4 separate regions of the Mus musculus genome follow, and regions 1, 3 and 4 are each reported to be linked to region 2. Evidence: microRNA targets listed by miRTarBase, many of them from high-throughput screens and not tested one by one. Region 2 holds a microRNA gene; each other region holds the end of a gene's coding sequence.

Region 1 (8,217 bases), not on the chromosome of region 2:
ATTTGAGGCTAGCCTGGACTACATAATGAGATCCTATCTCAAAACACCAAACAAACCACTTGCATAGCCAGAAATCAGTTAACCTTCTTGTTACCTTCTTTTTGTGACATGGATTCAGATGCAAATGTTCATTTAGGCATCATTGAATCAGTGTGTCAAATGTATGTTTTATGGATCTTAAATTTATTTCAATTCTGGTCAGGTAAATTTAAATTTAAATATCAGTGATAAATCCAAAAGCAAAACCAGGAAGGAAGGTTAAGAGTGGGTGATGAGGTCTTTGAAGTGATGGCTGCTGATAGTACCTGCTCATCAGAGACAACACACAAAACAAAATGGGAAATCATCACAGACTGTTAGATTGTCTTTCTTCTTGTTATTATAGACCTGAGAAACATTCTATATCAAAATGGTTTTGGTGTGACATTTTGTTGTGCCAAAATTCTCTGTCTTGAGGAATTTTTTAAAAATTAGTACTGTTCTTGAAACAAACAAACAAACAAACAAAAAGCTAAATCACCCGTTTTCCTGGAGCCACTTTGAACAACAAGGTGTCAACTTGACCTTAAGTAGGTTGATTGTGCCTCTTAGCAATGACCTGCTGGCTTCTCAATAAAGACAGAATCCATTGAGACTTAACAGTTCCCATTTAGCAATTTCATGGAGCTGGAGAGGTAGCTCTTTGCTTTAGGTCTCTGATTTTCCTCTAGAGGATAAGGGTTTGATTCCCAGCACCCACACAATAGCTCACGAATGTCTGTTACTACAGTTCCAGGGTATCCAACACCCTCTTCTGGCCTCCTGGCACTGCATGCTTGTAGTTCCAATACACACATGTAAGCAAACCATCCGTGCACAGAAAATAATAATATTTTAAAGTCTTATGTCATTGGACAGTGGTACTACCCAGGTATAGCATTGCTGCCATTTTCCTGTAGGAGAAGACCTTATTAACACTAAATGACAGAATTCCCGTTATTGACAGAATTTTCAGAAATTGTAGTCCTGTCCTCTGCCAGTTCGCATGGAAAGAAAACAAGCCTAAGTACTTTTTTTTTTTTTAAGTTTTCCAGAGAATTTCTGAAGGTCAAGTTGAAACTTTTGGCAGAGATGCAGATGGATGAAAATTCTGTGGGACCTGATGGAGCGTAGTCTGTGCTAGTTGTATAGAGCTGGGGTGGAAAAGAACTGGGGTAGATACTCAACCACAGCCCACAATTCCAGCACCAGCACACAGCTGAGAAACACTGTAACCCTTTATCACCAACTCACCCCTCTGCCTCCTTTTCCTCTTCCTCCTTCTCTGTATTATTATTATTATTACTACTATTATTTATTATTACATTATTACTTTGATGGTTCCAGAGATAGAATGCATGCTAGGCACATATTCTGCCTTGGGCGACATGCCTCACCCCTTACAATTATTTATACACATACATGTGTATTTTTGTCCCTAGATATTCTTTTCTGAGCAAAACTAGGGCATAATTCTCCTGAGGTAGCTGAGGGTGAGAAGAAACAGTGTAGTTAATTCATACCTAAGTCAGGCCTCCCCACAGCCCTCCTCCATACTGGCAATATCAAGCAGGTGGGCGAGCCCAGATGAGGTTCCTCAGTGAGGTGTGAAGACAGCAGTCCTTCCCTGCATTTCTTGCCTACACTATAGCATGCTCCATGGTGGACACAGCCATCTTGTTATATCTTCTCTAAACATGAAGTAGTCTTTTAAACATAATATAATTGTCCTTTTTCCGAAAGGAAACTTCTGGAAAAGCATAACTTTGCATACTTGCATGAAAGATAATCTCAGATAACTTAGTCCAAAGCACATTACTTAGCAACGGGCTGGACTAGCAGTCATCAGCAGTATCCATCTGGATGTGGCTTCTGGCAGAGCAGGCTTGCTGGGGCCACAAGTACCTCGGCTTGCCACCCATCCTCAGGTTTCTAGATTACTCAGGTCTCTGTCGCACAAGGATCATTACCTGTCGGTGGTGGAGAATGGTAACTGCGTCTCCTCAATGACTGTAGAGCCACACTTCTGAGGACAGGAAGTGTATTAGAGACAAACAGTTCTTTAAAACCAAACAGTAAGCGTCAGGGACGAAGATTGTGATCTAGTAAATTTGGGCTCCAATAAGGAGGTGCAGAGAGCCATATCTCTCTGGGAGTTTGTCTCATTGAAGGGGGTTCAGTTTTTTGGCCCTCAGGGTCTTTCAATAGCATATCTCTGCATGACCTACTGGCATGGTCTGTTGTCCGTTACTTTGGTACCTCCCATAGATGATAGTTAAAGGCAGGTTGGGTAGGGACTATTTTTGTTTCTGCTTCTCTCTGTAGACTTAAATGCCAGCAGCGTGTGCAGGCATAGAGGAGTACTGAACAATAAGGAGTGCTGTAGTGTGTGAGTGTTTGGGACTACAGGAGGAAGACAATGAATTAAATAAAAATAGAAGAGCTAAGTTCAGATCGGAAATATTCCAGAGTTTGTTTTTGTTTTTTTGTAGTGTGTTTTTTCCTGGATGTCAAGAGATAGTGGGACTGAGTCTCAAAAACCAACACACATCAGTATGCTAAGTTTGGAGCCACACTAACTGGTCAGATTGGTGGAGGGGTGGGGGGAACATAACTTGAAAAATACCAGTAGATTTTTTTTAATTTAATTTTTACTTTATTTTGTGTACTGGATACTAAAATTTCAAGACCGACATGGTTTTCACAACTGCACAGTATTTTCATCTAGTAACCAAGTACTTCCATATAGTCAACTCCATCGACCGGAACGTAAATACTCAAAAACAACAAAGAAAATACCAAAAATCAATGGCTTGATTTAGAGAGAGCTTTGTCTTCACTGTGTGTGTGTGAATGGGACATGCAATCTTTCTTCCGCTTTTAATGAATTAAGACGTGCATGTCAGTTGGTCAGAGGGCCCCACTGACCTGCCTGCCTTCTTGCTGCTGGGTTCTGAGGGAGGCTGCACCTCGCTGCCAGCCTCGTGTGTGCCAGCAGGAGCAGCACAGCATGCTTATCTCCTGTCAGGCTCATCGTTATAGTCAGCCATCCGCTGAGGAAGGAGGGACTTACAGAGTCTCGGGAGCCTCTGAATGTGGTTTCTCACTCTCCTCCTCTTTCCTGTAGCTGCTATCTGAGATCCTTTTATACCGTGTATCTCTCAAACACTTCCATCTTGGGTACCGTTTTAGTCCTGACTGTCAGCACTTGGATGAAGTGTGCTAATTGCTTTTAGAGTAAGGCTTACATTGAAAAGATTTAAGTATTGTGCTATATTTTAAAGTATTCTTATTGTGTAATAGAAAATATACTGTCAACCCTCCATCACATCACCCATTGAAATTAAAAATACATACACACACATACTTATATGGGTTTAGAGAGATGGCTCAGTGGTTAAGGTTAAGAACACTGTCTATTCTTGCAGAGGACCTGGGTTCAGCTCCTAGCACTCACATGGTGGTTCACAGCCATCTGGATCCAGGGATCCAATGCCCTCTTCTGTGCTCCATGAACACCAGGCCCACATGTTGTACACACATGGGCATGCAGGCAGACACTCATACACATAAAATAAGTCTTTACGTTCAGGAGAATACTGTTAATATATAAACTGTTTGCACAATAGAAAAAGTTCCAGGACAAGAAAGCGGTAGAGAAGCAAAAACCGTTAAAGATGGTTTTAAAAGTGTGACTAAGTATATGTTTGTGTGTGTGTCTGTTTGTCTGTCTTCTCCTGCAGGGAAGACTTCCCGTGCCTAAGGAAGTGAACCGAAAGAAGATGGAGGAGACTGGCGCTGCCTCGCTGACTCCGCCAGGCAGCCGTGAATTCACCTCTCCAGCTACCAGTTACCTCCACCCTTTTTAATCGTCCCACCTCCATTTGTATTGCATATGGTGTATGGGGTTTTGATGAGGTCTTGGTATCATATATGGGATTTTTTTTTTTTCTGTGTAAATCATCAACTATAAGAAGAAACTATGGGACTCTAAGCCTGGCTTTAGAGAATTTACAGTGGACAAATAGGTTTCATCAAACCAGTTTTTAATCATTCTGACTCAAGTGAAAACGCTCAGAATTTCACACTGTGAATCCACGTTTACAACCCCTACAGGTGGGCCTTCAGGCCTGGTTCGCTACAACAATGTCTTCCACAACTCAAAACTCCTACTGCGCTCAGATGACTGGTCCACTCCTGCCTTTCATCAGACAGCTCCCGACTGCTTCTTGCAGAGGCTGAGAGTCCCCCCCACGGTTTTTTTTTTTCTTCATTTAGATGTAACAAGCCTAGTAGTTTATGTTCATCAATTGTCTGTATATCTATATTTTACCCATGTACTCTTTTGATGTATAGAAGTAGTTTGAAACTCATTGTTTCCTTGTGGTAAGTGACTGAGACGCTGCCACAGGGCCTGAGACACTGATGAATGGTGCTATTTTGGACTTTCAACATGCTCCTTGGCGAGGTAGCTCTGGTGGAGTTGTTTTTATTTCCATGTTCTAAGAAGGTGTCGGTACTTTGTTTCCTGGAATGTTCTTCTCTAGACTGGACTGACTTGTTTCCCTTGTGTCTTGAGTGTGGCTTTCTTCTTCAGGGTTGTAGGTTGAGTGGATGCTACCAAGAGTGTGAGAGGCTGTCCTCTCGTGACTGGCCCTGGTGGATGTGCAGTCACGGTAGCGGGAGCAATCACAAAACTGTAATTGACCTACCAGATCTCTTCCTTTCTGCAGCCTCACCTGCCTGACTTAGAAAAAGAAAAGCAATAATTTTTTTCCAGGCGTTCTGAGGTTATCTCTTTGGATTCTTTTTGTTTGACTAGATATTGGGGGAGGGGGGATAAAAGTCCACTCTTTTAATAAGTGCCATGTGGGAAAAAAAATCCAAAGTGCTGGCATTTGAGTAGGAATTTGAAAATTATCCCTTTCCCAAAGTTGAAATTGGAAAAATGTCTTTACAAAATAGTGATGATGAAGGTGATGACTATGATAGTGATGACGATGTTGTTGTTGTTGTTGGTGGTGGTGGTGATGATGGTGATGGTGGTGAAAGGCAAAATACCTTTTTGGGGTGGTTTTGATAAGCAAGGTGTAGATTTTACATTTTTGTCCTTGCTCCCAATGAAATGGATAAACAAAAATAAAATCTGACAATGCCATCTCCTCACAGAATGTTGTTGTGTTAGCCAGACTGAAAGCCCACCTTAATTTTTATATAACGTCTTTGGCTCTTCCTTTGACAGGGCAGGCCTTGTTCTGAACTGTTTGCGCTTCTGACTGTTAAACACCAATGATGCATGCACTGTCCCTCTTCACTCTTTCTCTCGCTTCCCCTCTGGCTTGAGTTTCTTGTGCATTCTCGCTACCCCCACCTCTGTTAGGGTAGGTATATCAGCTATGTAAATAAAGCAAGGAAACGGTATTGTGCATTTGTGGCATTATGTAGAATTGCAGTGTGCGCTGCCGAAAATGCAGGCTTTTGTAACGTGGTCCTCTCATAAGTACCCAATGTATTTTAGCTATTTTAGTAGGATTTGTTCAATAAATATGCAAGCTATAAGGTAACTGTGCTTTGGCTCATTATTGTAGGGTCGGTCGGTCTTTTTTAACACCTCTGTCGATTCATACCACGTTTTGTGTTCCCAGGATCCCTCAGGTCAGACAGGCCAAGTGTCAGAAGGGTGAAGCAGATTTGCCTTTTGAAAATTTTCTCTCTTGAGGGCTTTAAGAGATTAAGGGAGAGGTAGGGGCTCATTAAGATGGTGTTAACAGCATTGCCCTGGTCACAAAGGAGAGGTAAATGCAAATCCTCCACTTCTCCTTAGGGCATTCCCACTCACCTCGAGACGCACGTTCCCACTCACCTCGAGACGCACATTCCCACACACCTCGAGACGCACGTTCTCATACACCGCAAGACGCACATTCTCACATACCTCAAGATGCATGTTCTCACACTCCCTTACCAGCAAGACCCACTCTGGGAAAGGTTGGCACCTCCACACAGACAAAAGACTCACATTTGTAAGAGGATCCAATTCTGAGATAGGCGTTGAAGCCATTGGTGTGCAGGCATGCAGTCACCCAGACCCCTGTGGGTGATGAATTGCCATCATCAAAGCCTTTTGGAAGTCTCAAGTGACTCTGAAAACTGGAATTTGGGGACCCATGCTCCATGTAGATAGACCCATGCGCTGCTGTAGATAGAATCTATGATTGACACATGCAAGGCGAGCTACTCTATAACTGAATTTTATGGTCAAACCCTCTTTGATATATTCTTTAGGAAGGGCAGGTGTGTGAGTACATCTCAGTTCTGAACAGAGACCTATGACTAGAGGATCTGAGGTTCTCAGCCAACAGCCAAGGGCGTGGGCATGGCTCTCCAGCTGCGGCCTCGGCATTGAATGTTTGACTGACGTCTTGACTGTTGAGAAACTCCTGCTGCATTCCTCATTCAGCCATCGTGGGACTGAAACGTCACCTTGACTTATGCAAGAGTTTCAAAATCAGCTGGTGGAGTATAAACACTGAGACACCTCACCAGAGGGTAAAGAACATAATTCTGAAATAAAAGCCAGAGAGAGAGAGAGAGAGAGAGAGAGAGAGAGAGAGAGAGTGAGTTAGGGGTGGGGTAGAACAGAGAAGCTTACCAGCCACACTCTGGGAGTGTGTCCTCCTCAATATGGGGGACAGAAGATGCTTTCTTGCTTTCTGGAAGATCCTCATTCCTAATTGTGCATGTCAAGAGGTATCTTATAAATTGGGAGGATGTTGAGTTTAATTCAAAATTAATGCACATTCCAGGTGAGATACTGGCACCTGTATACACACCCAGAGATTAATGCCTCTGAATACATGGGAAGGTCTCCTATTATTTGATTATCTTTTTACTTATGAGGAATCCTAATTTTCCTCACTCAACAACCTCCCTTTGCTTGGAGAGACATTGCAGCTATGGGGGATACACTCTACTTGGAGGGGCATTACAGATATGGGAGATACACACTGCTTGGAGGAGCATCACGGGTATGGGGGATACACTCTGCTTGGAGGAGTGTAACAGCTATGGGGGATACACTCTGCTTGGAGGAGTGTAACAGCTATGGGGGATACACTCTGCTTGGAGGATTGTAACAGCTATGGGGGATACACTCTGCTTGGAGGGGCATCACGGATATGGGGGATACACTCTGCTTGGAGGGGCATAATGGGTATGGGGGATACACTCTGTTTTATTGCCTTACTAAATTAAGACTTGCTAAATTATGAAAAGATCATGAGATGGGACAATCGGTGGCATTTCTCTGTTATTTTATTTCCATCCATCTTAATTATCAATTGCTCCTAAAGAGATTGAAACCACGTTTTACATATTGAAAACATATTTTTTCTTATCCCACAGGTTCTATGGGTCAGGAATTCTGGAGTAGTGCGGCTGGTGGTTATTATACGCCTTTGCAGCCAAGATGTCAAACAGGCCTAGAGCCATCTGATATTCTTGCTGGGGTTAGAAAGCTGTGCCCACATCCTTGGATGTTGGCTGGGCACCTCAGCCCCTCTGTTCATTGGTCTCTCTGCAGAACTGAGATGTCCCCATAACTTCTGCCTTCCTAAAGAATATATCAAGAGAGGCTTGGGAATATAATTCAGTTGGTAGAGTAGCTTGCCTCAAATCCACCAAATCTTGGCTTTTATCTAAAATATGTGTGTGTGTGTGTGTGTGTGTGTGTGTGTGTGTGTGTGTACATATCTAGGAACAAGCCCAGGTACATATGATCTAGTCTCAAACCTCACCGTTGTGCTGGAATGGTGGCTTACACCTATAATCACAGAAACGAAGGAGTCTAAGGCTAAAGGGTTGCCATCAGTTTGAGGCCAGCACATTTTGCATAGTGAGTTCTAGGCCATCCTTCCTCTATAGTGTGAGACCAGAAAAGAACAAGAAGGGAACTAGAAAAGAAAGCAAGCTAGCCAACAAACAAAAATCCCCAAACCAACTACTATCATATTCTGTTCAGGTAAACCAGCTACTAAATATAGCCTTATGACATACTCTACAAGGTAGAAAAGCAAGTTTTAGTTCTTGAAGTGGGGAAAACTAAAGAATTTGGAGACATGATTTTGAAATAATATATCAGTCTCTATTTAGTAAAAGAACTCAGGGTTTGTTGTAGGCTAAGGGATAAATTATAAGAAT
Region 2 (8,217 bases):
AATCTATTCTCTAAAAGGCTGCAATGCACCTTGTTCTCATGGACAGTAAGAAAATGCCATCCATGGACAAAGAGCCATAATCCTAATGCAGGGAGGAGAGAGTGTTACAAAAGCAGTGGACAGGAGTGGACCTGAGGCTCACCAAGGAACCAGTTCAGTCATCATAACTTGAGCTGCTCGAGCCTCTGAAGTGACCCAACACCATTCGTTCACTCCCAAGAGAAACGTGGCCATGAAAATAATTTCAGTTCAGAACCTTTTGGAGCAAAACCTGAATTTGCCACAAGGGAGTTTTTAAGCAAGTCACAACATGTGAATCAAAGTAGCCATTTGATAATTGTATATGCTTGGCCCAGGAGGTGGCACTATTAGGAGGTGTGGCCTTGTTGGAATAGGTGTGTCACTGTGGGTGTGAACTTTAAGAGCCTCATCCTAGCTGCTTGGAAGTCAGTCTTCCACTAGGAGTCTTCAGCTGAAGATGTAGAATTCTCAGCTCCTCCTGCACCATGGCTGCCAGGATGCTGCCATGCTCCCACCTTGATGATAATGGACTGAATCTCTGAACCTATAAGCTAGCCCCAATTAAATGTTGTCCTTATAAGAGTTGCCTTGGTCATGGTGTCTCTTCACAACAGTAAAACCCTAACTAAGACAAGCCACATACTTTTTTTTAAAAACGAGAACCCATATTAACCCATATTAAAATATAATATATCACTGTGTTCTGGATGAGGAAAAAACAAGACACAAAAGCCACATAAAAATCATTATTTAAATAAAAAATAAATCGGTGTTAAACATCCTCCTTGTTGCTATGAGAAGTTGTGGTCAAATGTTACCTTGATTAGATGTTGCAAAAACTTTAATAGTAACGAACTATGGGGAGTTAAAATGAAAGTCTCTGAAGGGAGAGATACTCTCTTCTTCCCAGGATGTCCTTGAATCTGGCATGGGCCCTGACACACAATAAATGCACTGAGTGTTGGTTAGAAAAGAGAATGGTGCTATATCCAACACATAGTGGCTTCCTTTTGCTGCTTTACAAATACCATTTTACATAAACTATGCTATTGGCTTAGTTTATATATTTAAGTGATCACAAATGTGCTGCTTCACTTAATGCCTGATACTGGTCCCTTTGGTCACCTTCTCATGTGGGTGGGCAGAAAGGTAAGACAGGGTCTCAGGGAGTAGCCTAGTAAGGATGGCCTTGAACTCATGTTTTTCCTGCTTCAGACTCTCAGCTGCTGAGATGACAGGTGCACATTCTCACAGCTGGCTCTTTGTCCTTGAATCCCATTTCTCCTTAAGAGCAAAGATTGCCTAAGGCCTCTTTGTGCAGAGGCAATTTTTTTTTTTTTTTGCCTCTTTGTGCAGAGGCAAAAGTTCTAATTTGCATCATCCTAAGCTGAAGTGTTGTAAAACAAAATTTCATTCCTTAGTACAATTTCAATTCTTAATACTTTCATGAGTTGCCAAAAAAAATTGGAAGGAAGGAAGGAAGGAAGGGAGGGAGGGAGGGAGGGAGGGAGGGGGGGAGAGAAAAGAGAAGAGGGAAGGGGAGGAGTGGAGAGGAAAAGAGTAGAAAGGAGAAGAGGAGAGAGGAGGAGAGGTGAGAGGAGGGGAGGGAAAAGGAGAGGTGGGGAGAAGAGGAAAGAAGAGAGGAAGGGAGTTGGGATGAGATGGGAAGAGGGGGTGGAGGGAGGAGGAGAGGATGGGAGGAGAGGGGAAGAGAGGGAAGGGGAGAAGAGGAAAGAAGAGAGTGGAGGGGAGGTAAGGGAAGGGAAGGAGAGAAACAGAAAGGTTAGCATAGTCTAGATCCCTTCTGTGGGATGTTTAATTTTTCTTTCTAGGAAACTGATGAGCCTGAGAAGCATTTAAAAACACATCTTCTGTGGCTCTAGCCCTGTGGCAGAATGCTTGTCATCTGCTGTGGCTCTAGCCCTGTGGCAGAATGTTTGTCTATCATGCACGAGGTCCTATGATCAATGCCCAGCAGAGGAAAACACAAAGTATGAAAACAGAAAATAACCAACACAAATGAAACAAAGGGAGAGGCTTGGGACACAAAAGCACAAAAGATTCTTTGTTTTTGAAGGGGACCATCACTGTCCACAGTGTAGCTAGCAATGTAAGCCACAGGCATCATTTTAGATTTGCTACTAGCTGTAGTAGATAGAAAAAAAGTACATTCGGTATATCCAAACTATTATCATTTTGATACGTGATCAACTAAAACAAGATTTTCCATTTATTCCCATGCTAAAGTTTTGGAAATCCAACATGTATTTTACATGGGCAGCAAATCTCAGTTCACACTAGACATGTTTCATTCAACCAAAGACCTATGGTTAGTAGCCACAAAGATGCATATTATGGCTCTGGAGCTGGGGGAACTACGGACACACAGGGACTATGGCAAGGACTGAAGGGTACAAGACTGGATGCTTGCCAAGAGGGGCCACCAACCGGGAATGCAGCAACTTTTTAACAGGTGCAGGGGCTCCAAGAAGGGGAGCTGGAACTTATTCTGCAGACTAGCCCAGCCTTGAACTCAGAGATTCGCATGTCTCTGCCTCCTACATGCTAGGATTAAAGGTGTGTGCCATCGCACTGGAAAAAATGCTACAAATTTAAATCTCTACTTAGAGGGGTTTGTCTGCACAGCAGAATAATCTTGTCAGGATAACAATGCAAAGGCCAATGCTAGTGTAGCTGCACAAGTGAATCAGGGGCAATAGTGGATTTAACAATACAAGCTTGATGATATAACGAGATTTTAAAGAAGAAGAGTTACTAACATTCATATTTTACAAACAAGGAACTTAAAACTGGTGGATTAAGCAATAAGGCCAAATTATAGAATTGTGCCTTTCATTCCAGAGAAACTTAAAAATAACTTTTCTCTAGTTCCCCAAAGTGGTAACTGCTGCAGGTCTCTGAAAGAGAACTATATGAATTCTTTCAAGAAAGACTTAGCCATTCCTTTTGCAATAGTAATAGAAGAGACAAGTTGCAAGAACAATTGAGGTCTCCACAAGTTCATGCACAATCACTCTAGAAAATCTGTAAAGTAGAACTGAGACCATGAACCAGGGGCCTCCACCCATAGCCATAAGAATTCATAAACCAGGGCTCTCTATCATGTCCATCAGAGATTATGAACCAGGGATCTAATTTACATCCATCATGGATAATGTACCAAAGTCCCCATACACATCTACCAGTGATCACTAAATAAAGTCTTTCCCTCCAGATATTTACTTCCTAGTCTTAATTCCAGTTTTGTTGGGTATACAGAGACTATATATCCTATGAATTTCTCTTTCCTTTCCTATAACATGTAATAGGAGAAATAATACCTACTTTACAAGACTGGAGATATAAAATTCTTTTTTTTTATTATTAGATATCTTCTTTATTTACATTTCAAATGCTATCCCGAAAGTTCCCTATACCCTCCCCCTGCCCTGCTCCCCTACCCACCCACTCCCACTTCTTGGCCCTGGCGTTCCCCTGTACTGGGGCATATAGAGTTTGCAAGACCTAGGGGCCTCTCTTTCCACTGATGGCCGACTAGGCCATCTTCTGCTACATATGCAGCTAGAGACATGAGCTCCGGGGGGGTACTGGTTAGTTCATATTGTTGTTCCACCTATAGGGTTGCAGACCCCTTCAGCTCCTTGGGTACTTTCTTTAGCTCCTACACTGGGGGCCCTATGTTCCATCCTATATGTTCAGGAAACATTACCAGACAGTAGGACCAAAGAAATGGACTTTTGAAGACATATCATGTTATTAATCTGTAAATAATTAATAATCTCTCTAGAATCATGTCATTCAGTTTTGATTGAGTACACATTAGATCATAGAGATCCTCTTACCTGAGGGAATGATAAATGGGTTCAAGGTATTGTTTCCCTTTTTACAAATGTAGCCAAGCTTCTGAACACATTCCAGATTTTCCCACTTGGCATTTTTTCCAGGGTTTAGTGACACACAGCTCTTTCCAGGCTCTGATGATGGACTTCCTTTAAGCAAATTACAAAGTTAAATTGGGAATACCACAGTCTCCTAAGTGGATGGCTTCCATCCTCTGCCAACCACCACACCTTACGTCGTCATCCTTGGGATTTAATGGATCCCCATCCTGTCTTTTGCTACACATTCACAAATTATTATTTACTGAGTGCAGAGCAAAAGGCATGGTGGGTATCTATTTGGTTACTTGTTGCTGGCTTATTCCAAGGCTTAAAATGTTGAGTTCACAGCAGAGTGGTTTGAAATAACCACCTAGAACAATGGATAGCATTAGACCTTAAACTTTAAACAACTGTGATGATATATGATATCATGTATCTATATATGGTATCATATATAGAATGGCTGAATAAAAATAATGTACACTGTCCCAAGATGGCTATATTAATGTCAATAGTAACGCTCAAAACTACTTGAAGCTAACTGAAGAGAAGAAAATGCAAGGGATAAACACAGTGAAACAGATCTGGAAACCAATGTCCTACACTCCCAGAACTAAGATTCTTAGCACATTTTGTTGGATTCATTGAAGAAAAACCTTTGGAGCTATCTCCTCATTCATTTCTTACAGGAAGCTGGTTAAAAATACCTGACTGGGTTGACACCTTTGGATATATGACCCTATCACTACAGTCTATCAATACATCCTCCTACTACAGTGGATACATACATCTATCACTATATCCTCCAATGTATGATTTGTCTACTGCAATGCATACATGCATCCATCTACATCCTCTAATGTATCATTTGTCTACTATAATGGATACATGAATCCATCCCTATATCCTCTGATGTGTCATTTATTTACTGCTATAGATACATGTGTCCATCCCTACATTCTCAGATGAGTCATTTGTCTACTACAAGGGTAACCAATCCCTACAGTCTCTGATTTATCATTTCAACCCCAGTTTCCCAGAAAGTAACTTCATCTCATACCTAAGTCTGACAAATTAGCTACACACACAGCTAATTTGTGACCTTTGGTGGATGTTCATTATGCACCAAAATTTCACTTTCCTCAGAAAAAGGAAATCATGTCACCAGCCCTTGGAAGTCTTTAACACAAACATTTTCCAGGTTGTATAAATACTACACAAAGTAAAAACCCCCAAAATACATATAAAGATGTTTTTTTTTAATCTTCTGATAATATGGCCAAGATTCTGTATCATTGTGGAAAAAAACTTTCAAGAAACAATATCACATTTAATACATACTGGTCTTAAATACTGTGCTCTTTGGTAAATCATATTATATATTCATTTATCAATACAACACCTCTACCGACCTTGAGATAGCAGTTGGAGGTCTTTACTAATCTGGTGACTATTATATAGTTGAATTTATATTTCTTCATCATTCACATAAAGTATTCTTGATTGCACTCCATATGTGTTTTAGAACATGAATCACTTAGTAAACGTTTAATGAAACAATCAACTAAGTAATTTATACAAAAATAGTTTAAATATTCTTATTTTAATTTCATAAAATTCTCACATTATTTAAGAAGGTTAGTGTTGAATCTATTTTCTGGAAACATGTAAGGCATTTTCCATTCCTATTACACCTTTTCTAAAGTTAATACCCAGGGTTTTTTTCAGTGAGATCTAAGACCACAAGGGGTTGTACCCAAGTGAATAATAGAGAAAATGAACTATTTTATGACGTGGAGTACTTTTAACTACTAAAGACAAGAATGGACTGTAGTCCCCTACCATATAATCACCACTGTCTGAAGCTTCTGAGTCCCGCTGCAATTCTCTAACCTCCCTTGAGCCCAAGAGCAGCAGACAATATCATCTTATGAAGAAAGGGCATCTATATTCATATGCACTTTCAGTTACTTCCCATATTTCAGAAGAAAATAAAACAGATTATCATTTCAAGACTCAAGTCATGGGGCTGGAGATAGCTCCGAAGTAGATTAACCGGTCATGATTTCTAGTACAAAACAATTCACATAACAGCCCTATGCTCATCAGGCAGTGAGCGAACATGTTGAGTGGAATTTCATGGTGAAATATAATCAGTACCAACATATATTTTTTTGCAACACTGTTCACTGGGCCCAAAATTTTGTGCATGCCAAATGAGTGCTCTTTCCCTGAGATTTCTGAAGCCTAATTAACTTAAATAAACACATAACCCTAAATGTTGAGTCTCTAAAATTCTCTCCCTTGTTTAAACACTTTTTAAAATACTATTTTATCTTTTTCATCTTAAAAGTAAAAGTCAAGGTATGAAACAGAAAACTTAACATATTTAAGCCAAATGCTTTTTTTTAAGGTATTTAATGGCTCAAAAAGGAAGGGGGGGAGGGAGGGAGGGAGGGAGGGAGGGAGGGAGGGAGGGAGGGAGGGAGGGAGGAAAAGAATTGTGAAAAAAAAGGCATGGCTTGCATATTTGTGGTTGGTCCCAATACTCAGAAGGCAGAAGCATAAGGATCACTTGCTTGAGATAATCTGGCCAATGAAGGAAACTAGGTTGAGAGTGGGGTTATAGGGAGAAGAGGAGGAAGGGAAAGGGGAGGAGGGAAGGGGGAAACCTCAGCTTTTTAAATACAGTCTCAATAGTGTCTGCAGCAAAGCTGATAAAACATGACTAATACACACTTATTTCCTGCTCCATGGCAGGAATCACTAATCATTAACTGTACTCTTCTGCAATAAGCCAGGCTTGGTAGTGTGCTATAGTTAGAGAGACTAGAATCACACTTAATACCACTTGAGTATTAACAACTCATCCTACTACTCAACAGATGAAAACATTTCAGAACTGATCTTTATGTTTCTCTGAAGAATTGCTTAATATGTACAACTTATATACAGCCATCTGTCTCCTTTTGTGTTCTGTCATCTTGTATGGTGGAACAACATGGAAGTGATAACAAAGAAAGAACAAAACAACACACACACACAACATGAAAGTATGACAAAATGGGAATGCCTTTTCTAACTTCCAGATAATTAGAAGAAGAGTATTCTCTGACTCTCTCTTTTATGATCAAACTGTATATTGTCAATAAAATTGTTAATAAATGTTTATCCTAGCATAGAATTTTATAATTTGTGGTTGAGACAGTATTTTAATTCAACTCTATTATATTATAAACAACCATAACAGTATTACCATAGGCTTTAAGATTACAGTAATATTAAAAATATCTCATGACCTAAGACAATATTCACCACCTAACACAAATTCACCACCAACACAGAATATTCATTTCTCTTAAACTTATAATGTGTATTTATAGATATTACTAGATATGAACATATGTGCAAAGTCAGGCCTCAAGACACAGGACTGAAAATCCCAGCTACTCAGGAGGCTGAGGAGGAAGGCTCCCAAGTTCAAGGTCTTCCTGAAGTAGAGAAAATTCAAGGCCAGTCTATGTAATAACTGTCAAATTAAAAGTATATAGAGGGCTGAGGACATAGCTCAGTGGTTGTCTAACATGCACAAGGCCCTAGGTTCTGTCCTTAGTATCCACCCAAGTGTGTTAGATTATTGATGCGTATATAGCATTGCATATATAAGAAATATTTATGTATCTTACCTATAAACACATTTTAACTGAATTTTTAAAATTCAGGTAGGACAAGAGAATCCCAAAATTTTGGGAGAACAATAGTCATACAAAAAGTAGAACACTTAAACTTTACAATAGTTGTTTCAAGGACAATGGCAAAGTTAAAACAACGCAAAATACATATTAGTACTAATTCTATTATCTTTAATCATACTTAAAAATAGCTATAAAATATGCTTTTGAATGTAAAACCTTCATAAACTACTTAGAGAGTGTAGACATCAAACAGAATGAGTATTGACTGTCGCGATTATCCTGGGAAACAAGTCCTTATCCCAGGAAGCTGGCCCTGTGTAAACTTGTACTTTAGAATAATCAAATCCAGGTTGCAGATTCCAAAGCATGATGGAAAATGAGCTATGTTCCATTAAGACTTTTTGAAACCAATATGTAACATGAGGAAGACCTTTAAGATATCTCAGTGAATTCCACTCAGCCAGTAATACTCAGGCATGCTTACCTGGTAGCCAGTTCAGATACCGGAATGGGCTTCCTCCAGCCCACTGCCAACCACTGCGTACACTCAGACTGTTGAGTCCAATCCAGAGTCCCGAGCTCAAGGAACTGGTTAATCC
Region 3 (7,329 bases), not on the chromosome of region 2:
TGAGGTCCAGAAGCAGCAAGCCAAACTAGGACTCCAGAGTCCTGTCAAGTCTGTCAAGTCCTGTCACTTCTTACTGTGCTCTCTCTCCATAGGGCAGCCGTGCAGAGAGTAGTTGCTGCCATGAACCAGATGGACCAGAAGAAACACGAGAAGTTTGCAAACCAATTTAATTATGCGCTGAAGTAAAAGGGTGTGGGTGTGCTGAATATGCTGTGGTCCCCTTTGGCCGTCAGCTCTTCTCCGTTCGTTAGCTTACTAGGATAGGAAGGAGAATAGACTTAAGTCTGAGTAGAATCAGAGCTTGTTTTTTCTGTATGTAACAATGTAGTGATGCATTAAAATACTCTCCAGGAGGCCAGGGGATATGGTTTAGTGGTGAGGCCAGGGTTTGATTCCCAACCATTTTAACCACACATGTGGTACCTCACCTGTAATCCCAGCACTTGGACATAAACAGGACCTGAATCCTAGGCCAGTATGGATAACAGAGCAAGACTGCTTGAGAAACAAGAACAAAAAGCCAGATGAGGTGACGCACACCTGTAATTTTTACACTTAACAGGCAGGGCAGGAAGATCAATACAAGTTCAAAGCTAACCTAGTTGCCAGGCATGGTAGGCACATCTTTAATCCCAGCACTCAGAAGGCAAGGCAGGTGGATCTCTGAGTTTGAGGCCAGGCTGTTCTACAGAGTGAGTTCCAGGACAGCCAGGGCTACACAGAGAAACCCTGTCTTTAAAACAAACAAACAGCTAAGCTAGTCTAAGTTGTAAATTCTAAGCCAGCCAAACTTACATAAGCAGAGTATGTCTCTGAGGGAAAAAAATATCCCTTCAGGATGACGTACCTGCATTGGAGTTGGATAGGGGCAGGCACTCCATCTGGCCAGCCCTTGGGCAGTAAGTGTGTCCCTAGTGGTGCTATGTACTTTATGATGCCTTCAGCAATCCACCCTTTCATGCATATGCTGTTTAATACACATGTCCAGCTCCTGGCACCACTCTGGACCAGGTGTGTTGAGCCCTAACTCACATACCATGTAGTCACCCAGGTTATGCACAGTGTATAACAAGTGACTCCACTGGCTTCCAGAACTTTAGTGTTCAGACAAACTGCCTGACCACCTCGAAGCCCGCTTTCTCTTTCCATGCCTATGCATTTAGAGTAATTGGGTCTGCGGCTTTTGTTTTTGTTTTGAGATGTGGTCTCTTTATGTAGCTCTGGCAGTCTTAGAGCCCACAGTGTAGACCAGGCTGGTCTCCAACTCAGAGATCCTCCTGCCTCTGCCTCTTCAGTATTGAGATTAAGGGCGTGTACGATGGCTCCTGGCTGAGTATGCCCTTCTGTTCCAGCTTCTTTGCCTTTGAAGTTTCTTCCATGTTGTGATAGCAGTCCTTCAGTCCTGCTTCTTACACACACGGACCTCAGCAGAGGACAAGGGAGGTGGCTCAGCAGGTAAAGCACTTGCATGTAATTATGAGGACTGAGTCCATATAAAAGTCAAGTGGTTATGGTAATCTGCTTGTAATCCTGCCCTTGGTGAGAGGAGACAGGATCTCTGGGGCAAACTCAGTAAGGAGACTAGCCAAAATCAGTGCATTCTGGATTCAGCAAGAGACTCCGCCTCTGTAAATAGAGTGGAGAACAGTGAAGGGAAACACTCAACTACAACCTTTGGCCTATAATATGAAAATTCACATATGCCCATAGACATCTGCCCACACATAGGTAAACACACACACACACAAAATCACAGTGAATGGAGTCATATTTTGTCATTGCCACACCCACCCTCTCATTTGAGACATGGTCTCTCTTTGGAACCCTGACTGTCCGGTAACTCATTTTGTAGATCACGCTGGCCTCCAATTCAGAGATCCTCCTGCTTCTGCCTCCCAAGCCCCGGGACTAAAGGCGCCACCATGGCCTGTCTCCATGGATTTGTTATTGATGTTTGGTCTGTTCCTACCTTAGGGCTACCGTGAATATCTGTGCTTTTTTGTGTGTGGACAACTGTTTCTGTACATCACCGATGCGTATAGTAACCTCCTTGTGAGGGGCTAAGCTGTTGGATGGTGGCTGCACCATTTACACTCACTCTGCTCTGCTTCCTGAGGGCTTCATGCCATCACTGGTGTCTTTGTTTCTTTTGCTTTTCTGAGAATTCTATACAAGAGGACTGTGCTCACATCATTTCCACCTCTCCTGCCTTCTCCAGGTTCTCCCATGCCCTTTTTTCAAATTCATGATCTCTTCTTTGTCATCACATATGAAGACAGTTGCTGTTATCTTTAGCAGTCATTCTCACCGTCATGTTCTGGGAGGCAGCTAAGGGCAACAACATTCACCTATGTCATTTTGATAGTCTCTTAACTCCCTGGCCACAACTTAGGAGATTTCCTGTTCGTATACATGGACTTTTGTTAAATAGTGTCTACTTAAGGATTTTTTTAAAATCACATGATTATCTCAATAGATGCAGAAAACACCTTTGACAAAATCCAATATAATAAAATAATAAAAGTCCTAGAGAGACTAGGAACAGGGAACATGTAAAGGAAACCCATCAAAACAACAGCTGATTCCCAGTGGAAGTTGTAAAAGGCAGAAGAGTCTGGACCAGGGTACTTCAAGGTCTAAAAGACCATGGATACCAACTTACAGTACTGTACCCAGCATAACTTCCTGCCATAGTTGAAGGAAAGAGGAAAATGCTCTGTGGTATAAACACGCCAAAAGAATTCATGCCCACCAAACTGGTCCTAGAGAGGATACCAAAAGCAATTCTTTAGACTGAAGAGAGGAAAAAGGACAAGGAAGACAAGTGAAGCTGTAATTGCTGAAGCACAAAAGAGGATGAATGCAAAGAGCAAACCAGGAGCCAGCACACACCTTAAACCAGAACCAGGAGCCAGCACACACCTTAAACCAGAACCAGGAGCCAGCACACACCTTTAACCAGAACAAGGTTTTAATAATATCCTTAGCTCCCCAGTCAAGAAACACTGGTTTGTTGAATGGATTGAGAACAAAGATTTAAAGATCGGGGCCACCTTAAAGCACAAGGATAGAAAAAAGTATCCCAAGCAAGTGCAAAGAGGAAGGAAGCAGGTGTCACTCACTACCTTTTTTTTTTTTTTTTTTTTTTTTGAGACTGTGTCTTCCTACTCAGTCCTAGCCTGCTATATAAACCAGGTGGGCCTTGAACTCACAAAGATCTGCCTGCTTCTTCCTTCCAAATGGTGGAATTAAGGACAAGGAGTCTTTGTTTTAATCAAGAGAACAATTGACCATGAATACATTACAGTTCTGTATGCACCAAGCTCTAGAACACCCAATTTCATAAGAAACATGCCACTGAACTTAAAGACACAGATTACTCCAGTTCCGTATTAGTGGGTGATTTCTGTACCCCACTTTATCCAGAATACAGGCCATCTGAACAGCAACAACAAAAAAGAATAGAGATATCAGATTTAAGTGATGTCATACAGCAAATGGAGCTAACAAATATGTACAAAATGTTTGACCCAAACACTAAAGAATATACATTCTACACAGCAGGCCAAATACCCAAAATAGATCATATTGGCCAGGAGGTGGTAGTCCATACCTTTAATTCAAGCACTCAGGAGACAGGGGCAAGCAAATCTTGAGTTTGAGATCAGAGTGGTCTACAGAATGGGTTCTAAGATAGCCAAGGATACCCAGAAAAACCCTGTCTCAAAAAATGAAAATAATAAACTAGATCACATAATTTGACACAAAACATATCTTAAGTTCAGAAAATTGAAAAATTTTAATATATTTTATCAAGCCACAATGCAATAAAGCTTCAAATCAATAGCAAACAAATTCCTGGTAATTATATAAATTCATGAAGATTGAACAACACATTACTAAATAGTGAATGGGTCAAAAAAGAATCAAGAAAAAATGTTTTAATCCTGAAGTCAAATACAACTAAAAACAACAAAACCTCTGGATACATAGAATGGCAACCTATGAGGCACTAACTACCTTATTAAAAATCAGAAAAAGCACAAATAAATGACTTAATGATGTAATTCAATGATTTGTAAAAACAGGAACAAGTCTAAATTGAGTAGAGTGGAATACCTAGTAAAAACAACATAAATTAATGAAATTGGAAGAAAAAAAATATCAATGAATCTAAGAGCTGGTTCTTTGACAAGCCATTGGCAGATTCTAGCTATCCAGCTAACCAAAATCAAAATAAACAAAAATAAAGACGTGATTCAAAGGAATAGAATTCAAGTTGAACTGGAACCATCATGGCACCAATGAAATCCAGTCCTGTAGAGGAGTACTTTAAAAACCTAGTCTCCATTAAGTTAGAAACTAGAAGAAGTGCACAAGGCACGCATGTGGTGCACACACATGCAAGCAAAACATTCATGAATTTTAATTTAAAAAAGGAATGGATGGATTTCTAGAGTAATCCAAACTACCAAAGTTTAAGAAAGTGACAACCTAAACAGACCTATAACATTATACCACCAGTGCCTCCTAAGCAGACCTGTCACAAGGAAGGAGATTGGAACAGTAAAAAAAAAAAAAAAAAAACCCAGGCCCAGATAGATTCACAGGAAAATTCCACCAGATTTTCACAGACCTACAGCCAATACTAAAAAATAAACAAAAAACCAGAAGGAACATTTTTAATGCCAAAAACCATGTAGGCAACAACAACAATATCTCTGATATAGGCAAATATCTCTGATGGACATAGATGCAAAAATCTAATAAAACACTGCAAGCCGAGTATAGCCATATTAGTTCACCCAAGAAAGGACTGGATGTAGGTGACGAACACTTGAGTCATGAAAGAAGACAGTTAACTCTTCTTTCTAGTTTTACCTCTTTTGTGTGTGTGGTTAAGTGCATAAAACAATATTTGATGGTGAAAGTGGAATCCAGTGTGAAGCTCCACAGCTTTCATTGAGATGGATAAACTTTGGGTCTGGTTAATTTCACTGTATGATGTTTTTTATAAGTTTTTTTGTAATAAAACTTTTCCTTTTGTTATTGCTGCTGTTGTTATTTTGAGACAGGTTTTCTCTGTGTAGCCCTGGCTGTCCTTGAACTCACTGTAGACCAGGCTGGCCCCAAACTCAGCGATCTGCTTTCCTGACTCCTAAGTGCTCAGAATCAAGGCCTGCACCACCACCCAAATGGCTTTGTAATGAAATATTAATAATAAAAAGATTTATTATGATTATAATAAAAGATATATATGACAAGCCCACAACTAAGATCATCCTAGATGAAAAGTATGAAGAAATCCCACATTTCGAGCTGTATTACAAAGATAGAGCAATGAAAATAGTCTTGTACTGGCACAAAAGCAGATGTGCGTCCATGGAACAAAACAGACTCAAACATGAGTGCACATGACTACAGCCAGCTAATATCAAACAGAGGTCCCAAAAATACACACTAGAGAAAGGACAGCATCTTCAGCAGACAAGGACTGGAAAACTGGACGCCCACATGAACAAGAATGAAATTAGACCCATGTCCATCCCCATGCACAAAAATGAGCTCCAAATGGATCAAGACCTCAGTACGAAACCTGAAACTTTGAGATGGCTGAAGAAAGCATAGTCCACATCCTCCAGGTTAGAGCTGTAGGGAACTCTCTGGATAGGGCTCCCTTTGCTCAGGAATTAAGACCAACAATTTATGAATAGGATCTTATAAAACCACAAAGCTTCTGTACTGCAAAGGAAACCAAAAATAAGCTCACAGGGTGAGATAAGACCTTATCTGGTAGACAATTAATATCCAGGATATACAGAAAAACCAAAATAACCTACTTTAAAGAGTTATGTAGATCTAGACTTTCTCAGAAAAAAAAATGGTTTTAAAAAGTATTCAGTATCTTTAGCAATGAGGGAAGTTCACACCCAGAGCACTGGACTCAGCTCCCAAGTCGTGAAGGCTAGGGCCGTCGTTTCCTCCTTTTATCCTATTTTTGTTTGGTTTCCCAGACAAGGGCTCACTGTGCAGCTGTAGTTCTGACTGATCTAGAACTTGCTGGGTAGTCTAGGGTGGCCTCGAGCCCAGCATAGACCCACCTGTCTGTATCGCTGGCAGTGTATGAAATGTGTACGTCACCGTCCTTGGCTCCTTAGGAAAAAGTGTGTATGGGTGTGGGTTTTTTAAAAAAAGAATTTCAAAAAAATTATGTGTATGGGTGTTTTGCCTGCACATATGTGTCTAAACCATGTTTCTATCCTGGTACCTACAGAGGCCAGAAGAGAGGAGTCAAATGGCCTGGAACTGGAGTTACAGTTGGTAGCTGCTTTGTATGTGCTGGGAATTGAACCTGAGACCTCGGGAACTATCTTTCTAGACTCTCATCTTGTTACTTTTTTTCTTTCTTTTTTTTTTAATATTAACAATCTTAGTGGAAAGTATTACTTTATGGTTTTGATTTTCATTTTTCTAGTGACTAATGGTAGTGTTTGTGTTTATTAGCCACTTATATGTGTTCAAATAACTTCTCATTTTCAATTAGTTGTCTTGTAAGAGGTTTTATATATGTTCTAAACACTGCATCCTTAAATGAATTGGAGATGTTTTCTCGTCTTTTCACCTTGATAGTGCCCTTCAAAGTTGTTAATCTTTTAAAATTACAGTGTTTGTGTGTGTGTGTGTGTGTGCGCGCGCACGCGCGTGCGCGTGTGCCTGTGCGTGCTCATTTAAGGAAGTCAGAAGATGGCCTTCAAGAATCTATTTGCTCTTTCCACCGTACAGGTCCTAGGATTGAACTCAAATGGGAAGGCTTAACAGCAAGTGCCTTTGCTCACTGAGCCATCTCACTGGCCCCAAAGGTTTTCATTTTAGTAAAGTTCATTTATATTTTTATTTTGTTTCTTGTGCTATTGATATAATTTCTAATGTATACACTAATTATATACATATAAACACACATATTGCTTAACTTCAAGGCACACTGATTTACTCATAGGTTTTTTTTTTTGAAATTTTTGTTTTTGTTGTATTTTTTTGAAATAGAGTCTCTATGCAGTCCTAACTGCCTTGGAACTCACTCTGTAGACCAGGCTAGCCTCCAGCTAACAGAGATCCACCTGCCTCTGCTTTCCAAGTGCTATGAGTGTGCCACTACAGTCAGCTTTCTTCTGAGAATTGTATACTTTTAGCTCTGACATGTACAGCTTTGATCCATTTTTAATTAATTGTGCTGTGAGGTAACGTCGGCTTCGTTGTTTGCATTTGGGACTTTCATTGTCCTTGACTCTTTTAATTGTTAGCCACTGGGAGCCTTGACCACTGTCATAC
Region 4 (8,217 bases), not on the chromosome of region 2:
GTTGCTAGGCAACATTATATATGGTAGAAATTACCTCTAAATGGTAAACTACACCTTGGATGACAGAACTATATATACCTTAATGGAGCCACAGCTCTGAGATTTCCTGAGGACTGTGGCTTTTGAAACAGGCATGTCTTACTGAGGCCCTGGAAGCTATGTCTGAGGTTGTATAGATGACATAAAATCCAAGCCATATTCCATGCTTGTGAGATCTGTTTTGCATCTGAGCTATGCCGAGTGCTTCAGGGATCTCACAGGTGCATATTAACTGGTTCTGACCTGCTGCCAAGCTATGGGTCCCATTCAGGTGTCAGGCAGATATTTCATACCCATTCCACGTCTTCAAGGTGTGTAATTGAAATGGATGCCTCCCTGCAAAACCCCCAAGCTTGTTACTACCAACTGTCCACAAGAGCACATAATTCTCACCCTAACACCAGGGATCTCTCCCTCTCCCTCTCCCTCTCCCTCTCCCTCTCCCTCTCCCAATTCCTCTCTTGCATTCTTTCTATCTTTCCTTCCATCTGATACTAAGGATTGAACCAGGACCACTTGACATCAGAATAGTATCTTCCAAATGATCAGAAATCATGCTCAGAGTAATTTCTTCTTTTCCTCTTTCCTTCTGAGTCAGGGTTTTCCTATATAGTACTGGCTAGTTTAAACTGCCTATGTAGGTTTTTCCCCTAGGACCATGATCTAATCTCAGGTTCCTGGCCACTGGTCACTTTAGCAATTTCACGTATGGGTATGGGTTCCATTTCTTCGAGTGGTCCTTAAATCCTGTCAGAGTGGTTGGTTACTCCTGCAACATTTGTGCTACCTTGCATCAGTATACGTTGTCACTGTTGTAGGTTGCAGAGTTTGTAGCTGGGAGACACTGGTGATTTCCTTCTCTGGTAGCATGCAAGAGAACCTTCAAGTAGCATGAACTACAGAGATCTGCCTACCTCTGAATGCTGGGATTAAAGGCTGGTATGTTTAAGTGTATCAGGCATCAGAGTCATTTCTTAACTACAAATCATAAGTATCATTTACATTTCTTCTCAACCCTTGAGAAGAGCTGCCTCCTCCTTCAAAGGAACCAGCTTCATAACTATGCATTTTTGAGTCTCATCTCAAGTTTGTATCTTGGACCCATCCATGCACTATATCTTCTGAGACAAAAATATTTTTTGGTGAACTTAGACTGAATGTGCCAGAAAGATGAAATACTATAAACTCAATCATGTACGGTCAATGTTGTGCCCAATTGCAAATTTACTTATAAAAATGTCACCACAGACAGCCAGGGCCATACAAAGAAGCTCTGTCTTGCAAAAATAAAAAATAAAAAATAAATCACCATGGGCTGCAGGTTTGACCTGCTTAGCATGTGAGAGGCCCTAGTTTCAATCCCCAGAACCCACCCATAACATCCTTTAAACTATTAACACCGTGAGTTAAGCCTTGAAGATACTAGGATAATTACTGACCATCAAATGTGAAAGCCCATTTAAAAGGGGACCAGTCCATGATCTGACAGTCTACACCAAAGAAGTAGCTCTTTTTTAAAAATAACAGAATACAGCAACTCCGTTAGTATAATGTGCATTGACAAACTCCAAATAGTCACCTAGGAATGAGCAGTCTGAGACATCACGGGGTGTTAACACAAGACACACTCTGGGCTTCACAGCCGTCTTCCTCCCAAGATTCTGCTCGTGTAACAAAAATGGCCATGTCTGGTGGTTTATGTCAGCACCCAGGAGGCAGAGGCAAACAGGTCTCTCTGAGTTCGAGGTCAGCCTGGTTAATACTGAGTCCTGGCTGAGGTGAGTCAAACAGTGAGGCTCTTAAATCAATAAACAGAAACAAACAAGAAGAACCCAGAGTCAGGGGAGGATGACCCTGGGCATGTAAACCAGGGTCAGAGTCAGTTTCTTTCAAGCTTTCTCTTAGATCTTCATATCCTGGGTGTGAGTGTGTACATCTGAGAGTGCAGGTGACCACGGAGGTCAGAGGCATCAGCTATTCCTAGGGCTGCAGTTTCAAGCAGCTGGGATGCTGGGAACTGAACTTGGGTCCTCTGTGAGAGCAATAAGAGCTCTTAACCACCACACCATTATGAAGTAGAAATTTCTGGTTGTGTCATGTGATGCAGCCTCACGTGATATTTTGCTGAGGCAAGACCCAGGAGAGGACACATGATGTTTGGAGAGAATATAAATAGGACTCAATGGAGGAGACAAAGTGCTTGCACAGCTACACTCATGCAACAAACACTCCCTTGGCATTGCATCTTCACTAATCTTCCCTTTATTGAGAGAAAGATGGCATCCCAGCTGGTCCCGGTTGCTTCCAATGACTCCTGCCGATTCAGCAGAGGCCTGGCAGTTTCTGCTGGATTGTGCCACTTCTGACACTTTTGGACTGGTATCCTGACAATGGGAATTGGAATCACCCGAAAGAACTAGTTCTAAACAGGCACACATACCCTTGTCCTATCACCTTCTTTTCTCCCCTACCTTTGGTGGGCTAGAAGGGGAGGCGAAACGTTTGAGTACCCTTATTAAAATACCCTTATTAAAATAGGTTTTGAAAAACCTAAGCCTATACCATCTCTCTAGCTTTTCATTTTTATTATTTATTTATTCATTCATTCATTCATTCATTCATTCATTTCTACTTTATTTATTTATTTATTTATTCATTCATTCATTCATTTCTACTTCATTTATTTATTTATTTATTTATTTATTTATTTATTTATTTCAGACAGGCCCTCGCTGGCCTGGAACTTGTTATGTAAACCAGGCTGACTTCCAACTCACAGAGAGCCCCCTGCTTCTTTCTGCCTCTGGAGTGCTGAGCACAGCTGGACCTCCAGTTAAAGGTGTGCACCATCATCCCTGCCAATACAACTTCTTAAGTATCCCACCCTGGCCTTGAACTTGCTTTGTAGCTGAGACTGACCTTGAATTCCTGATCCTCTGCCCTCCTCTTCCCTAGTGCTGGGATTCCAGTTGTTTCCTACCATACCTGGTAGGATTTCTAAGTTTCTATGTCATAACACCTACACTAGGCATTGGGCAAACTGTGAAACATCTGGACTCAGAAGCAGAACCCAAAATTAACATCATTCAAAACCCCACTTTATATCTAGAATTTCTCAACCTTGGTACTATTGTTTTTATATCCCTGGCTGTCCTGGAACTCACTTTGTAGACCAGGCTGGCCTTGAACTCAGAGATCTGCCTGCCTCTGCCTCCCAAGTGCTGGGATTAATAAAGGCATATGTCACTTAGGCCTGTGTGGTATCAGTCTTTCTATGATGTGGCTGTCTAGGTAACTACACCTCAGATGGCCCATGCCTTGTTCAAGGAAACAAAGTCTAACAGAATGCGGGCATCACAGTAATGTAAAAGTGTCATCAGAGTCTCAGGTACAATTGTTAAAGTACAACTGAAATATCTTTCCATCCACGGGTGGGGACTAAGTCAGTAGAGAGTACTTGCCCAGCATGGACAAGGTCCAGGATATAACACCTACTACTATGAAAACTAAAAGATCTTTCTTTTCTTCCTTCCTTCCTTCCTTTCTTCCTTTCTTTCTTTTTTATAAAGTTGACAATTTTAAAATAATTTATTTTATTGTATTTTATGTGCATTGGTGTGAGGGTGTCAGATCCCCAGAACTGGAGTTAGAGACAATTGTGAGCTGCCATGTGGGTGCTGGGAATTGAACCAAGGTCCTCTGGAAGAGCAGCCAATGATCTTAACCATTGAGCCACCTCTCCAACCCTCATGCCGTCTTTCTTCCTTTAAAAAAAAAAAAAAGGCTTTTTTTTTCTTGCAGACAACACAAATTTAGGTATTTGTTTATTGCAGTACTAGAGATTGGACCCAGGGACTTCCTAATGACAGACAAGGAGCTGTAACCCTAGTCCTGCCAGGGGAGGTGGCGCATGCCTTTAATCCCAGCCCTTGGGAGGCAGAGGCAGTCAGAACTTCAGGAGTTCAAGGCCAGCCTGGTCTACATAAGCAGGTTCCACAGCAACCAAGGCCCCCCCCAGAGAAACCCTGTCTCAAAATACAAGCAAACCAACAAAAGCTTCCACTCTTTAATGACAAGACAATACATACAAGGCAGTTTATAAATGATTCTCACTAGGTATTGTTCAAGAGGCAGAGAGACCTGGTGATTTCACTGCTGTTTGAAACTGTGTTAAAAGTAAAGGAAGACAAGGGATTTCTTTTAAAGTCCACTTCAGATGCTTTTAAGAAAAGTCTGCAAGCTACCTTCTAGTGCACCATTCATCCATGGTCTTTCCTGTCCTTTCATACTTTAGAGACACTCGACTTGCTTTGCTACAGTTGTGACCTGGCTGCAGAGTGGGTGAAAAGCAGACCGGCTTGAAACCTGTTCTACCCAGCTCCTTCCTTCTAGGTGGTCTTCTAAAACCTGAATGTTAGTTAGGCATGCATGTCTCCCCTGCAGTTCAAGTCTGGGCATAAACTAGGTGGCAGGATGTCAGGCGGGACATGCATGCCCAGGAATGTCACGAGGGTGTGCATATCCAGGTTGCATGTCTGGGAAATGACTAAGCAGCCTTTTGATTTTTGCCCAAACGACTTGCTTTATAATCTGAGAATAGGGGATTTGTGTGTACGGAATTGTCAAATAGCAGAGTAGACGGGGACAGTACTCTGCCCTGGCTCACTGGCTCTTCTCTGGGGGCTCATTTAACTTAACTCAATCTAGGTGGGCAAGCAGCGGGCCCAGAATAAACTTGCAATTTGTGTCAGTGTTTGTCTGCATAAAGCTTCCTCCAGCCTTTAGGCATATAGTCTTAGATTTAGGGAGTACCTTTTATGACCACGTAGTTAGCCCCGCCTGCTTTTTATCGAAGCAGATTCCCAGAAAATTAAATGTGGAGTTCATTTCAAGAAGCCTGGCAGGGGAGAGACAGAGGTTCTGACAACATACTCTTGCCACCTCTTCAGAAGACTGTAATGATGTAAGAACGTAAAAGACCAGCATAGTGCTAAGCTGGGAGGTTTTCTTATTTATCTCCGGCCCAGAGTCAGCTTCTCAGCAGGAAAATTAGGAAGTCTCGGGGCTCAATCTCAATTCAGTCAGTACCAAGGAGACGTCAACAAAACTCTCAAGACTCCATGCTAAAACGTCATCAGTCTTTTTGAGTCACAACATCCAGCCTTCGTCTAACAAAAAAATCCAAGTGTAACGACACTGTGGGGAGATGATCCCCAAGTCTCACAGAACTCGACAAATGGTAGCTTTCACAGTAGAACAAGCCACAACACTTAAAACCTTCCCACCGAGTCACTGCTACGTAAGTGTCTCTGGGGCTGGTAAGTTGGGCCGAATGTGTGGCTTGTCGTCAGAATCCTCCGCGGTTGGGTCATTCTCCTCACCAGACTCTATGTAGATGGGCCAGTCATCTGTGTCACTCTTCTCGTGGCTTTCAGATGAAGCCTCCACCAGGCTAAGGTTGACAGGCATCAGGTCGTCCTCTTCCTCCTGGGGGTCTGTGACACAGGTGCAACTGTCACACAGCCCGAAGCGCCGCAGTCCTTGGGACAGGTGGCTCGTAAAGGTTCGTCGACAGCCTTTGCAGATAATTGGACGGCTGGATCTGTGGACCTGCCAGCACAAGGGGACACCGTAAAGGTCAAAGAAAAGGCTGGAGAGGTGACTTAGCAGCTAGCAGTACTTGCTGTGCAAACGGAGGCAAGTTACTCTCCTGCCTCAGGGTATCAGTTCTGGTGGGAAACTGGGGATACAGCTTACTCTACGTCCTTACCAGGGGAAGAAACTCACAGTCTGCTGGCCCTGCCAATTCTGGCCTCATGACGGCCATCCTTGAACAAAAGCTAGGCTTCTTGGAAAACTGGCCTGTTCGCACACCGGCATTAACTTTTTTCTTTTTTCTTTTTTTTTTCCGAGACAGGATTTCTCTGTATAGCCCTGGCTGTCCTGGAACTCACTCTGTAGACCAGGCTGGCCTCAAACTCAGAAATCCTCCTGCCTCTGCCTCTGGAGTACTGGGATTAAAGGTGTGCGCCACCACACCTGGCTAGCATTAACTTTCTAAGTGCCGCCAGCTTGGCTTTAACCTGGTAAGAGAAAACTTCACAAACTTCTCTTAAAAAAAAATCTCTAGATGAGAGAGCAGTGACAGACAGTCCCACCCTCACACTAGGAGACAGGCACAGCCCTTACAGCGACGTCCCTGACACTCACGCTCAGGGCGTGACTCCGAAGGTGCTCCTGCCGGGTGAACCTCTTGCCACAGGTCTCGCAGGGGTACGGCCGTTCGCCAGTGTGGGAGCGGATGTGCCGTTTGAGGATGCCTTTCTGCTTGGCGGTGTAAGGGCAGAAGGGACACCTGTGCAGCTTGATAGGAACCACCAGCACGTCACCTGAGGAAGCCAACAGACGCCATTAGCCCATTAGCCGTCAACAGGGACAACAACCACAGCCACCTTTCGGGGTGGGACTGGGAAACACCCTCATCCCAGACAGAGAGGGAGACTACCAACTCCACCTGCTAGCAAGCTGCAAGACTGACCAGTGCAAGTCCCACTTTGGCTTCTAAAAGATCAAAGGTCAAGTCAACTAAGTGGGCTTTCCCGCTCCCTTCCCCTGCTTAGACACTGAACCCAGGGCCTTGACTGTGATACCCAAATGCTCTTTCACTAAGGCCCATCCCCACCCACCCACCCAGCTTAGCTTCTGGTCATGAGTATCAGGCTTTAGTAGCTGGGACATCTCTCCAGCCCATGAGAGGTTTTTGCTATTAAGATTTTTGTTCATTTAATTTTTATTCATGTAAATGGGTAGGTCTGTGTATTAATGCCAGGTGTTTATGGATACCCATGGGGGCCAGAAGGTGTCTCCTTGGAGCTGAAGTTATGAGACACCTGACATAAATGTTCCAGGACCAAATTTGGGTCCTCTGGAAGAAAAGCCAGAGCTCTTAACCTCTGAGCCATCTCTCCAGCCCCATGTTCTGTGAGTTTTACAAACATTTTGTAATATACCCAAATTATTTTTGTCTTCCCTGTACACGGCTCCCCTGTAACACCTGGCGTGATTCATCCTGGTGTGAGCTGTAAACAGCCAGTCAACATTCTGTGTTATAAAGACCAATCTATATGCAACTGAAACGATATAGAGGGTCTCACTTGGGAATACTAGGAAACCAACCCAGACACACTTATCATAGAAACATACCAGCCTTCAACGTCTTGTACCTACAGGCCCATCACTAAAGCCAATAACAGCAATGGGGCTTTATCCCAAACTTGGGGCTACAGTGATGTGTTGGTTTGAATGAGAAATGTTTGCCATGGGCTCATGTATTTGAGCCCTCGGTCTCCAGTTGGTTGTACTATTTGGACACAGTGCCTAGCGATCCAAGATTCTTTAAATATAAGTAGTTTATTTGGGAATAGACGGAGAGATAGGTGGGAGTCCGAGCGTCATAAGGCATAGTAAACTTGTGTGTGCTCTAGGAGGGTTATATTTTAAACACAATGAACTTTGTAACTCTAAAAGAAACCTAAAGTTTCACTGAAAGACTCAGAAACACTGGTTTTCTAGAACTGGCTCTGAAGTCGGTAGACCACCAATATGGGCCAGGTCCAGAGGCCAGACACCTGCTCAAATGCCAGGACCTCTAAGATCAGGAGAGATACTTCCAAAACTAAGGGGGCCATCTAAACTACCAAGACTGTGTCCAACATGTTGAGGCACCCCTCCAATTTCTAGGAACCCATGCAAACTATCTGGCCCACCTCCCAAACTGGGAACTTATATAGTCTCAGACCAGGAAAGCCACTATTAGAAAGTGGCCTTCCTTTATCTTACAGTCAGCAAGGTATGCTCTTCCCATTGGGCCCAGGCTCTCCAGTGGCAGCACCCCCCTCATTAGGCATTCCTGGCACCACAGGATGATGCCACATGGGCATCTTTAGTCCCTTTCGCCATGAGCCAAGGGGTTTTTCTTAAAACTCTCATATAACTTCTAGAGTTAACAACACAAATAAAAGTCTCTTTCCCATTCAGTCCTTTTACTTTGTTTTGTTTCTTTTTCTTTACAGTTTAAATATTCAAACTTAATGTGTACCATCTTCATCTTAAAGATTTTTAAATGTGTTACTTACTATCATTACTGTTATTATATGTTTATGATGTTTGTGTGGACAC

Evidence for each region. The annotated mature microRNA mmu-miR-511-5p reads AUGCCUUUUGCUCUGCACUCA and lies in region 2 at 4,187-4,207, opposite strand. An mRNA with a match to its seed (bases 2 to 7 or 8) in the 3' UTR can be bound and repressed. Matches are read on the target gene's strand: a 7mer-m8 pairs with bases 2 to 8, a 7mer-A1 pairs with bases 2 to 7 and ends in A, and an 8mer does both.
Region 1: miRTarBase lists Nrep as a target of mmu-miR-511-5p. Seed matches in the 3' UTR shown: 8mer at 5,067-5,074.
Region 3: the mRNA of Uvssa is a reported target of mmu-miR-511-5p. Seed matches in the 3' UTR shown: 7mer-A1 at 644-650 and 7mer-m8 at 2,601-2,607.
Region 4: the mRNA of Zbtb8b is a reported target of mmu-miR-511-5p. Seed matches in the 3' UTR shown: 7mer-m8 at 3,951-3,957.

The regions. Positions count from the first base shown.
Region 1 is chr18:33,434,384-33,442,600 of GRCm38, reverse strand. Nrep (neuronal regeneration related protein) reads left to right here. Exons shown (of 4, transcript NM_053078.4): 4 at 3,762-5,582. The coding sequence ends at 3,887. Among named protein-coding and RNA genes, the nearest start is that of Nrep, 25 kb to the left of the region's middle.
Region 2 is chr2:14,257,003-14,265,219 of GRCm38, reverse strand. It overlaps Mir511 (microRNA 511), which reads right to left and starts at 4,217; the gene lies at 4,139-4,217. It overlaps Mrc1 (mannose receptor, C type 1), which reads right to left. Exons shown (of 30, transcript NM_008625.2): 5 at 8,103-8,216; 6 at 3,885-4,031.
Region 3 is chr5:33,414,706-33,422,034 of GRCm38, forward strand. Uvssa (UV stimulated scaffold protein A) reads left to right here. Exons shown (of 14, transcript NM_001081101.2): 14 at 93-5,049. The coding sequence ends at 186. Among named protein-coding and RNA genes, the nearest start is that of Nkx1-1, 16 kb to the right of the region's middle.
Region 4 is chr4:129,422,179-129,430,395 of GRCm38, forward strand. It overlaps Zbtb8b (zinc finger and BTB domain containing 8b), which reads right to left. Exons shown (of 4, transcript NM_153541.3): 3 at 6,250-6,428; 4 at 3,587-5,649. The coding sequence ends at 5,335. Among named protein-coding and RNA genes, the nearest start is that of Zbtb8b, 15 kb to the right of the region's middle.